3 linked regions of the Nothobranchius furzeri genome follow. The protein of the gene in region 2 interacts with the protein of the main gene of each other region in a biochemical or structural test. Links are inferred from orthologs where the notes say so. Each region holds a gene or a part of one and is shown on either strand. Other genes may lie near its edges.

Evidence for each region. The genes of interacting proteins can lie anywhere in the genome.
Region 1: the proteins of activin receptor type-2A (region 2) and bmp2b form a complex in vitro, tested with the Homo sapiens proteins (3 studies listed by BioGRID and IntAct, with this or other methods). The link is inferred for Nothobranchius furzeri from reciprocal best matches to the Homo sapiens genes ACVR2A and BMP2.
Region 3: the proteins of activin receptor type-2A (region 2) and erbin interact in a test that uses a peptide from one of them, tested with the Homo sapiens proteins (2 studies listed by BioGRID and IntAct). The link is inferred for Nothobranchius furzeri from reciprocal best matches to the Homo sapiens genes ACVR2A and ERBIN.

The regions. Positions count from the first base shown.
Region 1 is NC_091742.1:22,692,952-22,697,266, forward strand, and holds the start of bmp2b (bone morphogenetic protein 2b), read right to left. Parts: upstream 2,970-4,315; 5' UTR 2,792-2,969; intron 2,015-2,791; 5' UTR 2,002-2,014; coding exon 1,647-2,001; intron 1-1,646. UniProt on the Homo sapiens protein: Growth factor of the TGF-beta superfamily that plays essential roles in many developmental processes, including cardiogenesis, neurogenesis, and osteogenesis. Induces cartilage and bone formation.
Region 2 is NC_091743.1:85,835,959-85,839,699, reverse strand, and holds part of activin receptor type-2A, read right to left. Parts: intron 1,408-3,741; coding exon 1,264-1,407; intron 1-1,263. UniProt on the Homo sapiens protein: On ligand binding, forms a receptor complex consisting of two type II and two type I transmembrane serine/threonine kinases.
Region 3 is NC_091746.1:65,311,266-65,315,791, forward strand, and holds the start of erbin (erbin), read right to left. Parts: upstream 2,970-4,526; 5' UTR 2,741-2,969; intron 1-2,740. UniProt on the Homo sapiens protein: Acts as an adapter for the receptor ERBB2, in epithelia. By binding the unphosphorylated 'Tyr-1248' of receptor ERBB2, it may contribute to stabilize this unphosphorylated state.

The DNA.
Region 1 (4,315 bases), on a different chromosome or scaffold from region 2:
ACTCTTCTTTTTTTGTTTTTTATCAGCACCCAAATCCCCCTCTTTCCCCTCCGTCCTTTTAGAGATCCTCTTCTCTTGTCTTCTCTGTCACCGTTTTCTCAGTTCCTTTCTGCAACTGTTCTCGATCTCGGTCTGGAACTGCTGTGTGAACAAGTTTATGCTTGTCAAAAGCACGCGAACCACAGATTTCCACAGCTTTATTTTTGTGCCACTCGCCAAAACAAAAGATAGATGCTAATATTGGATCGGCCATCTCTGGCAGCTGCGTCCTGTGCTACGGTGGAAAGGCTCTATTTGACTCGAGTTATTCCTGAAAACCAATTGTCCGAGCGAAAGGAGCATGGCGTGGCAGACGTGACGAAGGCTTGGAGCTGTTTGCTTTGATGTGCTGCATTAACATCTGTAGATCCGTGCTTATTACAGGGGGAACAATCCCTCGACGCGATACGGGAAGCCTAATAACCGCGCGGCTGTTAGCATAGGACGAAAAGAGCCAGGAGAAGACGTGTAAATGTCAACGTGTGTTGGCTGAGTGCAGAGGTTTCCAGCGGTGAGCTGGGAGCAGTCACTCAACCCTGCTGCTCAGGGTTGTTTGTAGTGTGTCAGTGTAGCCACTTGGTGTCATTGCACTAGGCCTTTGGAGAGCACCCAAGCAACCACTCAACCACCCCTCTGACTCACCCCTGATGGAAAGAAACTTCTCCACTCAAACACAGGACTCTGTATGAGGACTCTGCGCAGGGCCCCAATGGACCCAGCAACGTGGGTCACATTAAGATAAATAGATGTGCAAATCTACTATACCGGGAATAAGATGTTTATTATACAAAAACGTAAACATCGAGTGCTCCTGCTTTTAAAGCTGTTATAAACAAAGCATCATTTACTTTGTTAAAATACTGTTTAAATCCACATTTTAACAGCTGATCCAGAGTCTGCAAAACGTTTATTTTCATCCGAGAGGTGAATGAGTCATGTTTAAATATAGGTTTTTAAATTCAACTGAACTGAGACTTGTAGTTCAACTATCGCTGTCTTCTCCAAACTGGTTCACGCGTAATGATGCACAACTGGAAGCAACAGGAAGAAGGGAAGCCACGCCTCCTCTACGGCGTTACCAAGAGCTAATTTGAGTCTTGTTAAAGGTGACTCAGTCTGACACGGTGACTTCGTCATCGTGTGTGTTGCTCTGATGTCGGTTGTTTTTTGAAGTTGCAGGGTGACGTCTATCACCTGCGCACAGGCGCACCGCCCTTTATGCTGCTCCCGTGGTGCGTGTCTGGAAAAACAGTTTTCAGAATCCCACGCAAACACCATCAATTATTAAGAAACTAATGACCCCGGGGATACCGCCGCCCCTGATGTTTCTGAAGCCTGTGACAGCTGTGCTGGAGGGATGTTTGTCTAAATGTTGCACTGCTGCTTAGGTGAGAAAAGTCAACTTTGATGTGATTTTTGTGCATCAATCTTTAAGTTAAAGCATTTTTTAAGGTTGCAAATACCTTCGGAGCATGTCATCTGTAAATGACTAAACCTTCAGAAAACAGGGAAGACTCTGAAGTTCAGTGTTGACGATCTGAGTCATGTTTAAATATAGGTTTGCGCTGTCTGAGAGAGACATGTAAAGGTATGTCACTAATATATACCTTCATGGTGAAAGCTTCTAATCGTGTTGGCCTTGCTGGCGGCTCTCTCTGCGTGCTTCCCCATGCTCTTGGGCCGCTTAGTGCTGTGGTCTCCGTTCGCAGAGTGCATCCGGTAAAGGTCCACCATGTACTGGGGCACCACGGCTTGTTTGCTGGGGGTCGGCCTGCGTCTCAGCCCGAACATGTTGAGAAGCCGCAGCTCGAACTCGTTGAGGAAGCTCTCCGACTGCTCAGGGGTCTGTTTCCCGGATTCGCTGTACTTCCTCCGGCCTACCTCGGGGATGAGTCCCGCAGCACCTTCCAGCAGCACCTGAGCGAGCATCAGTACCATGAGAGAGCGGACCACGGCGACCATGATCAGTCAGTCCCTGTGGAGAAAGTTGGTTTCTGTCAATACACTGGCAGGCAATGTGGTATTGACGTGAGGTGGTCCCAGCTAGGCTCTCGCGGCAGCAGTTCCCAAATCCCCCCTCAGAGCGTAAAACTGAAGGGGAGCAGGTTAAAAAGGGGGAGACACCTCTTCACTTTGAAGTGCAGAAGAAAAAGAAAGAAAGAAAGAAAGAAAGAAAGAAAGAAAGAAAGAAAGAAAGAAAGAAAGAAAAACCCAGAGGCTAAACTGCTCCTCTAGTTTGGGTTGAACATGAACCCTAACATGAAATATCAAGGTGAAAAACTAATGACAGAGGTGGATTAAACAGACAAATCAAAGGATTTGAAGGGAAACGCTGCAGACAAAAGGTCTCCAGCGAGAAGAGATAAGAGATCTTGTTGCAGATATGAAAGTCCATGCAGAGAGAAGGATCAAAGGAAGAACACGCATCAGTTCCAGTCCCACTGCGCGCTGTTTGCATGTAATCATAAAGGATAGTTACTTCAAGAGGCTTGCAGGTGTTAGATCTGACGTGTGCCCCACAGCCAGGCATCAGAAACACAGACGGAGTCAAACAACTTCCACACAGACAACTTTTACCTCTATTTTCATTTTCTGTTTCTCCGTGGCTCAACAGGCGGAGGCTTTACGCACGAATTTATTATTAGAAACAAATGAGCTGTCACTTGTGAAGTGACCTTTCTGTGTTCAGTCCAAGTGCGGATTCAGGTTAAAACCTCCACATCGATGGTTATTCTTTATTCTAGCGATTTACCTGACGAGAACGCGCGGTGTCCGGTCGTCGTTCCACCTTTAAGCTCCGATAAATTCCACATTAATTCGTGTTTAATCCACGCTGCTTCTGCTTGGGGGACCGAAAACAGCCCGCGCCCTCCGCCGATCGCTTCTCGCACATATTCTCACCAGCTGCGCGTCGGGTTCGGGTCTTGCTCAGTCCGGAGAGGAAAGAAAAAAAGTAGAAAAATTAAGTCTACGAGGAAGCGGCTGCGCGCAGGCATAGCCGAACTAAGTGCGAGGAAGCTTGTCTGGACATTTTTAAAATTAGAAAAAAGAAAAGCTGAAAGTGGAGAAACGTGGAGCGTCGCGCGATGTTCGTGGAGAGATGAGCGCAGTGAAGTTGGTGCTCGGAGAGGGAGAGCTCTCCGGAGCGGGTCTATTGATTGGTGCCTTCTCTTTCCCCTGCGACGCTTTTTGTCCTACAGTGATGTCACTGGGCTGTCAGTCATCTGTCCAAACCGCACCACTTCCTGTGCGTAACTCCCGCAGGAGAAAAATCCCTCATTTCTAACTTCACAATGGAAAACTGTTTAAACTTTATTCCTCTCCCCTTCAGCAAACATCTACAAATGTGATTTGGATTAAAATCTGTAACAGGACCACCAAGAACAGGTGGAAGAGCTGGCAGGAGTTTATGAGCTGAGTTTATTACTACAATTTTTAACCAAGTATTTCCCCTCAGAATGTGTACTCAGCATATTTGAAGAAAAAAAAGTACTTTTTGTTTGCTTCTTTTGACAAACAAGTACTTTTGTTTGTTTGTTTTGCCAAAATAGATTCAGTGCATTTGAGATTCAAAAGGTTGCCAATGATCAAAATGCAAAATGTAGTGAGAAAAATGAACTATGTGGGACATTTGCAGTTATTAACAGTTTTTTCCTTTTAGCAAACACAACACGTTATTAAGGAATTACTTAAATCAACCAAATAGAAAGAATAAACAGGCTTCATCATATAATTTTACATTAACCCTTTGATGCATAATGGTCACTATACAGTGGACAGGTATTCAAAATTGTTATTTGTTTATTTTACAGCTGTTGAAGACTTTATTGCAATTGAGCTCCTTCATTTGGACTTCAGTAAGTCAAGCCAACATATTTCGTGTTCAGAATGCACGCTGTCCCCTGAGATGGACATGTAATAAATTATTTGTAAATTAACAAAATACTACAAATAATATTTGCTGAAATTTGTTTCATTCACACCTACAGATGAATGAAAAAAAAGTTTAAAAAATCATGGTTGAAGATTTCATAATTCATGCATCAAAGGGTTAATTTGTAATAAATATGACGAAACCAATTCCTTTCAACCTCTTAATTTCCTGTTATATGAACAAAATATCATTTTTTATCACTTTTAAAGGACAGTTGTGTTAATTAACTATCAAGTTTCTAAATGATCAAACTTGAGGTTTGTTGCCACGGATAAGAAAAAAAATCAATTCATTTGAAAAATGTAAACCCTAAACTGCTTTTAACCTGTTAAACCTGCAGCT
Region 2 (3,741 bases):
AGCTGCTGGAGCAGATTAAAACGATGATGCCTCACACTTAGATCGTTGTCGCTGGTTACATCTTCACCCAATCACCCGTCGCATTTAGTAAAGTGAAGCCAAACTTTAGAGCGCGTTCGTGTTCTTCTAGTCGGAAAATCGGAGTTCCGAGGAGAAAGCGAACACACCATTAGCGGAACGGAAGCTAACAAATCAAGCTAACGTTATCTTAAACAGTTTATTTAACTGCTGGAGCAGATTGAAACGATGATGCCTCACACTTAGATCGTTGTCGCTGGTTTCATCTTCACCCAATCACCCGTCGCATTTAGTAAAGTGAAGCCAAACTTTAGAGCACGTTCGTGTTCTTCCAGTCGGAAATTCAGAGTTCCGAGGAGAAATCGAACGCACCATTAGCGGAACGGAAGCTAACATATCAAGCTAACGTTATCTTAAACATTTTATTTACCTACCGGAGCAGATTAAGATGAGGATGTCTCACTTAGATCGTTGTCGCTGGTTTCATCATCACCCAGTTACCCATCACATTTAGTGAAGTGGACCCAAGCTTTAGCGTGCGTTCTTTCTACCATGCTGCTCTGTTTACAACTCGCTCGCAGCGACCGACGACATAACGCTCTTGCGCATGCGCAGCTGTCTAGGCAAGTTCTCGTTATGAAGGACGGGTACCGAGACGAGGCACCGTTTCAAATGACGTGAATCGGTATCAGTCGGTACTGTGGAATTCGGTCGGTACCTTAAAAAGTACAGAATTCGGTACCCATCGCTAGCACCCAGTGACATTTTACCAATCGGTTCTATTTTAAACCATCCTTTTGAAATGAACGGACTCCATTTTTGGAACTCTAGTCCTTTGCTGCAGCAGCAGCTCTTCTCTGCTTTCATAGCAGCACCGTCTGTCCATGTTGTCTGCGTGACCAACAAGTAGGGGTCATTGTGCACCAATGAATGTGTCAAATATCCTCAGTCTGTCTAAATGCTGTACCTGAATAACAAAGCTCAACTCTGCTACCAGTTACCATAAGTCAGAAATCACAAATAGTCTGCCAAAAGGCTTAATTGCATTAAAAATATGTATTTCTGCAGGTATTTAGCTCTAAAAGCGACTAAAGTTCATACAGATCCTATTAAAGACTATAATGCGCCCTCTACAAATGCTTAGGACAGCTACATGATGCTCTATTGAGGATGTTTTTCCATAAATCAAGCATTCCCGAGATGTGAAAGCCTTGATCAAAGTGACTCCAAAATCCAGGAGGATACCTGAATTGGGAAGATCTTCACGGCCACGTATTCGTTCAGCAGCTGGGCTTTCCACACGCAGCCAAAGCGCCCCCTGGCTTTCAACTCAATGAGCTGCAGCGGTTTTTGACCCAGAACGGGGGATGGAGGCGAGGGTCCGGGATCCTGGAGGGAAACATGAGAGGAAAGCAGAAGATGGTGGTGTTAGAACAGGACTGGTTCAGTGTGAAGGAGACAACATGCTTCTATTGTTATTCAGCAAAATGACTTTGTTTTACAGCATTGCCACATTGCTGCTTGCTTCATATTTCTACTGGGAGCTTAGTTAAGGAGTTGCTGCATGTTTAGCTTCATCACAGTGAAGTTTAATTTGGCTGGGAGCATGCAGCAGACCCAGCAGGGTTTGGATGGGTTCGTTTTAAATTAAATCAAACCCCTCAGGGTGGCGTTTGCTTGAATTTACAGAAGCAGGGCTGAATCAGGAAGGTTGCCAATCTGGAACCCAAAGAGCTGCTGAGAAAAAAGCTCAAAAAGACTAGAAAGCATCGATAATCTGCTGGTCATTTGCAGCAGAATGAATCAGGATGTTTGTTTTGTTTAATTATAACATAAACTAACTTATCTTTTTTATTTGAGGAAAAAACTACTTTTGAACAATCAAATGGGTTGTAAACATGTCCTCAAAGGGGATTTTTAGCTAATCTTTCTGAAAGGAGAAAAAAGGCCTGAGGCTCTGGGATTCTTGTGCTGTCTTGTGTGTTCTTTGAAGAGCGTCCATAGTTTCCTGGTGATGTTTTGGTGATCGGGAAAGCCGCGGGATGACCTTAAGAAGGTCTGATGGGGATTTAGAGGTTTGTTTTGGAACATTGTGGTCAAGTTGTATGATTATTTTTTGAAAATCTTTGTGTTTCTGCAAAATGATCCTTAAAGGGACTTTACAGAGTTTTTAATTTTTATGCTCGTGATTGCCCCCTCAGGACAGAAGCGTAACGGCAGCTTCAATAGTAGGCTCGTGCACGAGGCGCGCATGCTGTACGTGCACACTCCTTAACAAAAATAACAGCTGAGACAGTCCCTTGTGTGTGTGTGTGTGCGTGCGTGCGTGTGCGTGCGCGCGCGTGTGTGTGTGTGTGTGTGTGTGTGTGTGTGTGTGTGCGTGCGTGCGTGTGTGTGTGTGGGGGGGGGCCCGGAGGACAGAGGACAGGAGAACGTGCAGCTAATTAATTAAATTATTTGGTTCTGTACCTTTCTCTTCAGCACAGCCAACAAAGGTTTATGATGGGTCAGTCCTCCTGCATGCTCAGATCATTCCCTTCCCTTGCTTGAAAAATTGTTCCAAAATGAAAGTTGAACCCACATCTTTTTTATCTGTGAATTCAATGCCGTTCGGCGAGTCTCAAATAAAAATTTGGGCATCTTACTGTAAAAAAATATACCATTAATGTAAAAAAGAAACTCTAAATAAACTATGTTCACACCCAGAATCAAACCCAGGTCTTCTGCACGAGAGTCCAACGTCTTACAAGGTGAGCTACACTCTAGTAACATTCACTGTATCTGTAACTTTTACATACTCGATGACAGCTGAAACAACGTCAAACCAAAGAACAGTTCGGAGTGAAAATGGCTATTTTGTTGTTAATTTGCAGGAAATATCTAGAAGAAAGTTCTACAGAAAGTAGCTAAGGGTCCTCAGAAATGTAGCTAGCTTTGTCACTAGGCGTTAGGAACAGCGACAAAGTGGCACTGCCTCTCTCTCTGCTGCTAAAGCTACGGATAGCAAATGCTACGGGCGATGCCTGAGCGTGAACGCGCATGAAGCAGCCTGCTCGACCCGAGCATCTCTCTTTTTCTGTGATTTTACAGAAAAACAGGCAATCACAGTAAAAATGCCAGGGCTCATTCTACAGGACCAGGGCATTGCAGGAGAATGTATGAAGAAGACATTTATTATTTCTATACATGTTTTGGCTGTCAAACTTCCATAATGCCCCTTTAAGTCCTAAACCTATTGGCTGTAGACTTTGGCCACAGTGTGACCTCATTTAGATGTTATGTATTCTTCTGACGTTGGATTTAGCAGAGATCGTCCATAAGGATTGTTATTTATGCAGAACAGACCAACTACTACTGAATTACCTTCCTCGAGGCTTCAATCTTTTACTCGCTGTTCTACAATCAGTCGACTCTGAAGTCTTCCAGACCTCAGGCTGACCTCCGCTGGTCTCGTTAGCTACCATTTAATGATGTTACAGAGAACGCTGCTGGACAAAAGCCCTTTGTTACTCTGCTATTGCTCAAAAATCCTTCTCCTGGTTCATGAACATGAGCAGTTTGAGTTAAACATCTCTGACCCGTGGAAGAGCTGTGGACAACTAGCATCTGACCTTTGTTGGATAGCTATTTGAACAACCTCAGTTTAGAGAAAGAGATGAGCTCTGCCCTGATTGATGAGCTAACAGCTAGTCACAGTGGTGCTCACCCAAAAACTGATTTTTG
Region 3 (4,526 bases), on a different chromosome or scaffold from region 2:
CTTAGTTACCTCACAACCTAGGCACAGACTAAATTGTGGAAATCTCCTTGGAGGGTCACAGACGCCAAGTTGCGAACCCCTTTACAGGTCCTTCTCAAAAAATTAGCATATCGTGATGAAGTTCATTATTTTCTGTAATGTACTGATAAACATTAGACTTTCATATATATTAGATTCATTACACACAACTGAAGTAGTTCAAGCCTTTTATTGTTTCTAATATTGATGATTTTGGCATACAGCTCATGAAAACCCAAAATTCCTATCTCAAAAAATTAGCATATTTCATCCGACCAATAAAAGAAAAGTGTTTTTAATACAAAAAAAAGTCAACCTTGACATAATTATGTTCAGTTATGCACTCACTACTTGGTCGGGAATCCTTTTGCAGAAATGACTGCTTCAGTGCGGCGTGGCATGGAGGCAATCAGCCTGTGGCACTGCTGAGGTGTTCTGGAGGCCCAGGATGCTTCGATAGCGGCATTAAGCTCATCCAGAGTGTTGGGTCTTGCGTCTCTCAACTTCCTCTTCACAATATCCCGCAGATTCTCTATGGGGTTCAGGTCAGGAGAGTTGGCAGGCCAATTGAGCACAGTAGTACCATGGTCAGTAAACCATTTACCAGTGGTGTTGGCACTGTGAGCAGGTGCCAGGTGGTGCTGAAAAATGAAATCTTCATCTCCTTAAAGCTTTTCAGCAGATGGAAGCATGAAGTAGCTAGCTGCATTGACCCTGCCCTTGATAAAACACAGTGGACCAACACCAGCAGCTGACATTACACCCCAGACCATCACTGATTGTGGGAACTTGACACTGGACTTCAGGCATTTTGGCATTTCCCTCTGCCCAGTCTTCCTCCAGACTCTGGCACCTTGATTTCCGAATGACATGTAACATTTGCTTTCATCCGAAAATAGTACTTTGGACCACTGAGCAACAGACCAGTGCTGCTTCTCTGTAGCCCAGGTCAGGCGCTTCTGCCGCTGTTTCTGGTTCAAAAGTGGCTTGACCTGGGGAATGCGGCACCTGTATTCCATTTCCTGCACATGCCTGTACACGGTGGCTCTGGATGTTTCTACTCCAGACTCAGTCCACTGCTTCCGCAGGTCCCCCAAGATCTGAAATCGGTCCTTCTCCACAATCTTCCTCAGGGTCCGGTCACCTCTTCTTGTTGTGCAGCATTTTCTGCCACACTTTTTCCTTCCCAGAGACTTCCCAATGAGGTGCCTTGATACTGCACTCTGGGAACAGCCTATTCGTTCAGAAATTTCTTTCTGTGTCTTACCCTCTTGCTTGAGGGTGTCAATGATGGCCTTCTGGACAGCAGTCAGGTCGGCAGTCTTACCCATGATTGTGGTTTTGAGTAATGAACCAGGCTGGGAGTTTTTAAAAGCCTCGGGAATCTTTTGCAGGTGTTAGAGTTAATTAGTTGATTCAGATGATTAGGTTAATAGCTCGTTTAGAGAACCTTTTCATGATATGCTAATTTTTTTTAGATAGGAATTTTGGGTTTTCATGAGCTGTATGCCAAAATCATCAATTTTAGAAACAATAAAAGGCTTCAACTACTTCAGTTGTGTGTAATGAATCTAATACATATGAAAGTCTAATGTTTATCAGTACATTACAGAAAATAACAAACTTCATCACAATATGCTAATTTTTTGAGAAGGGCCTGTACAAACATTTCTAAATCAATGTTCTAATCTAAACATTAATCCATCTAATTATGCTGGACAGAACACAATCAATGTTATTGACTTCAGTAACATGCAATGTGATCTGGAGTAAATACTGCCAATTTATTTACTGTTTTGATACATTTAATTTTCCCACTGGAACTTACTACTTTATCTGAGTTTGACTCATCAGGTCAAAGATTTTATCCCTTAACAAGTTGCAGCTGATAGCTCCATGTCTTTGTTTACATTAGAGTAAGGATGGTCTGTGAAGCCAAATCTGTTAACAAGCTGATAAGCTAGGCATCAAATGAAAAGCTTCAGTTTAAAGTTGTCTGTAAGAATCATCTGATTCACACGCAGACAGGTCCTGCATCTTCTGACTACACGTCCCTTCTCAACAGCAGTCAGGTGTGTGGTATTTTTATTTTTAAAACACACAAATGTGGGTCACAATCTGCTACACACTCTCAGCGTTTACATCTGAAAGCATCAGACTGAAACAAAAAGAGGGGAACATTTACCTCAGAAAGCCTGACCCATTTAAAATCAAGATAAAAAAATCGATTAATCTCTATTTTTCTAAGTAATCTGATTAGTAACGTGATGAAAGTAAAAACACGTACAGCACGACGACTGTAATCCCCCTCCACAAACACTTTCGCTACAAGCTATTGGAATAATGACTGTTGGTGTGGGTGACATTAAACATGGTGACAGCTTTCAACACAGCGTTGAAACTGATGGATGGATGGCTGACTGACAGCAAACAGCTACAAAGCAAAGCAGCAGCCGAGCACAGATGTGGATCTGATAAAAACACAGCCAAAAGCTGATACATAAGCCATAACCCAGTGTCATTAAGCTACAAATGAGCTCTAAATTATCACCAAACATCAGCATTTTTATGAGAACTTAACGGAACAGTTTTGTAGTTTAAAATGATTAAAATAAGAAGTCAAACTCAAGTCGGACAGCATCGGCGTTGGACCAGAACGCTTCGGCGCAGCTAGCACCAACGTTAGCATTTTGCGAGAACTTGCGCAAACAAAGACACTTACCTCAATTCACGTCGACTCCGTGGGGCATGAACTGATGTCCAGTTAGTGGAGAAAAATGTGAAGTTATACAAATAATGTTTTCAGGACGAAAGCATTTGCTATCATCACAGAGTCGGTTTGTTGGTTAAAATGGGAGTTTGGCTAGGTTAGCCGTTAGCTAAGGCTGCCCACTTAAAGAGCTGCTCGAAGGTGGCCCAGTGCGCACATTTCTCCCCCGCAAGCCCTCAAGTTCCTTAACGTCTCCAGCTGTTTCCAAACACTTCAAAGTCTTAGCTTCCCAGTGACTCGGGACAGCCAAAAAATCGGAGCAAAAATCCTCCGTATCCGATCCGAACAATATCACGGAACATTAAAGAAGATCCAAAATGTCCACGAGAATTTATCAAGGAAATACAAAAGGCAAAAACGACCTCGGAACGAGGGAAAGCCTTTCCTCTGAAGTCTGTCGCGCCCAGATGTTTTCAGTCATGTTTCTTTCCGTGTTTAATCAGTGACAAAAAAAGGCGCAGCTGTGGTGGAAGTGAGCTACACGGAGGCTGGAGGAGCTCAGAAGGGGAGATTTCTTCTCTGCGACCTCTACACGCAAAAGGCAGCTCATCAGAAAGTCGCTCTCCCACCATCGCTCAGAGCCCCTCGACGATGCTTCGCTCTCTCTCCCAGACGGCGTCAGCGATTGGCCCCGACTGTCCACGGCCGCCCGGAACGGAGGTTACCCTTTAAAACGCGTCTCTATGCAGAATTAAAACAGCAGCTCAACAAATTGAGCAGTAGAAAGATATTTAAAGTTCTCATTTACATATAAACACTTTTTGCCTGCAACATTTGGCCCAATGTTACCTTAGAGCGCCCCCTGCTGTAAGTACATTTTATTGCAAGGAATTAAACCCTTTGCATGACTTGACTTTGTCACATTTCTCTAATGTGAACTGTAATTTCTCTGGCAATAATAATAATAATAATAAAAGTTAACTCATTGACCAGTTTTTATTATCCAGTACCAGTGCAAATGGTGAAACAAATTCTTGAAGGGGCGATGTGCATACGTATCTTCTACTTACCAGTTCAAAAACGACTACAACTCAGAAACAACCATCTAAAGAGCAAGTAACCCCTTACCAGAGTCTTACTCCACTCCAACTTCCTGTTTGAAAAATGCAACAAATGCAGTTGGCTGGCAGACCGAGAAGGCAGAACCGCTAACAAGTACACACAGGCTCACAACATTGTGACATCATATGGTACTAGCTGATGTCATAGTATACATCTTATGGGCCATTCCCATCTGTACCGGGTCGGCCCAGGCCGGGTAGCGTAGTTTTTACCTACAGAGGGTGCAACAGACAGATATAGGCAGAATATTTAAATTTCAACAAAGATCCAATCCAATCCAATCCTGGTGGTAAATCCTGGTGGTAAATCGGTGGTCCACACTTTTATCACCTCAAGGCTGGATTACTCAAACTCCTGCTTATACGGCATCAGTAAAGCAGCTCTTTCTAGACTTCAGCTGGTCCAGAATTCAGCAGCTAGGTTGCTGACTGGAGCTGACAGAAGACAACACATTTCTCCAATTCTGAAATCTCTCCACTGGTTGCCCGTGCAGTTCAGGATAAACTTCAAAATTATGCTTCTCACTTACAAATCCTTGAACCATCAAGCTCCTCCATATCTGTGTGAACTTGTCCATTACTACAACCTGCCGCGTGCTCTCAGGTCTGAAGATAAGCTCCTCCTAAATGTTCCAAAAAGCCGTGGAGAGAGGGCTTTCTCTGTCTGTGCACCGAAG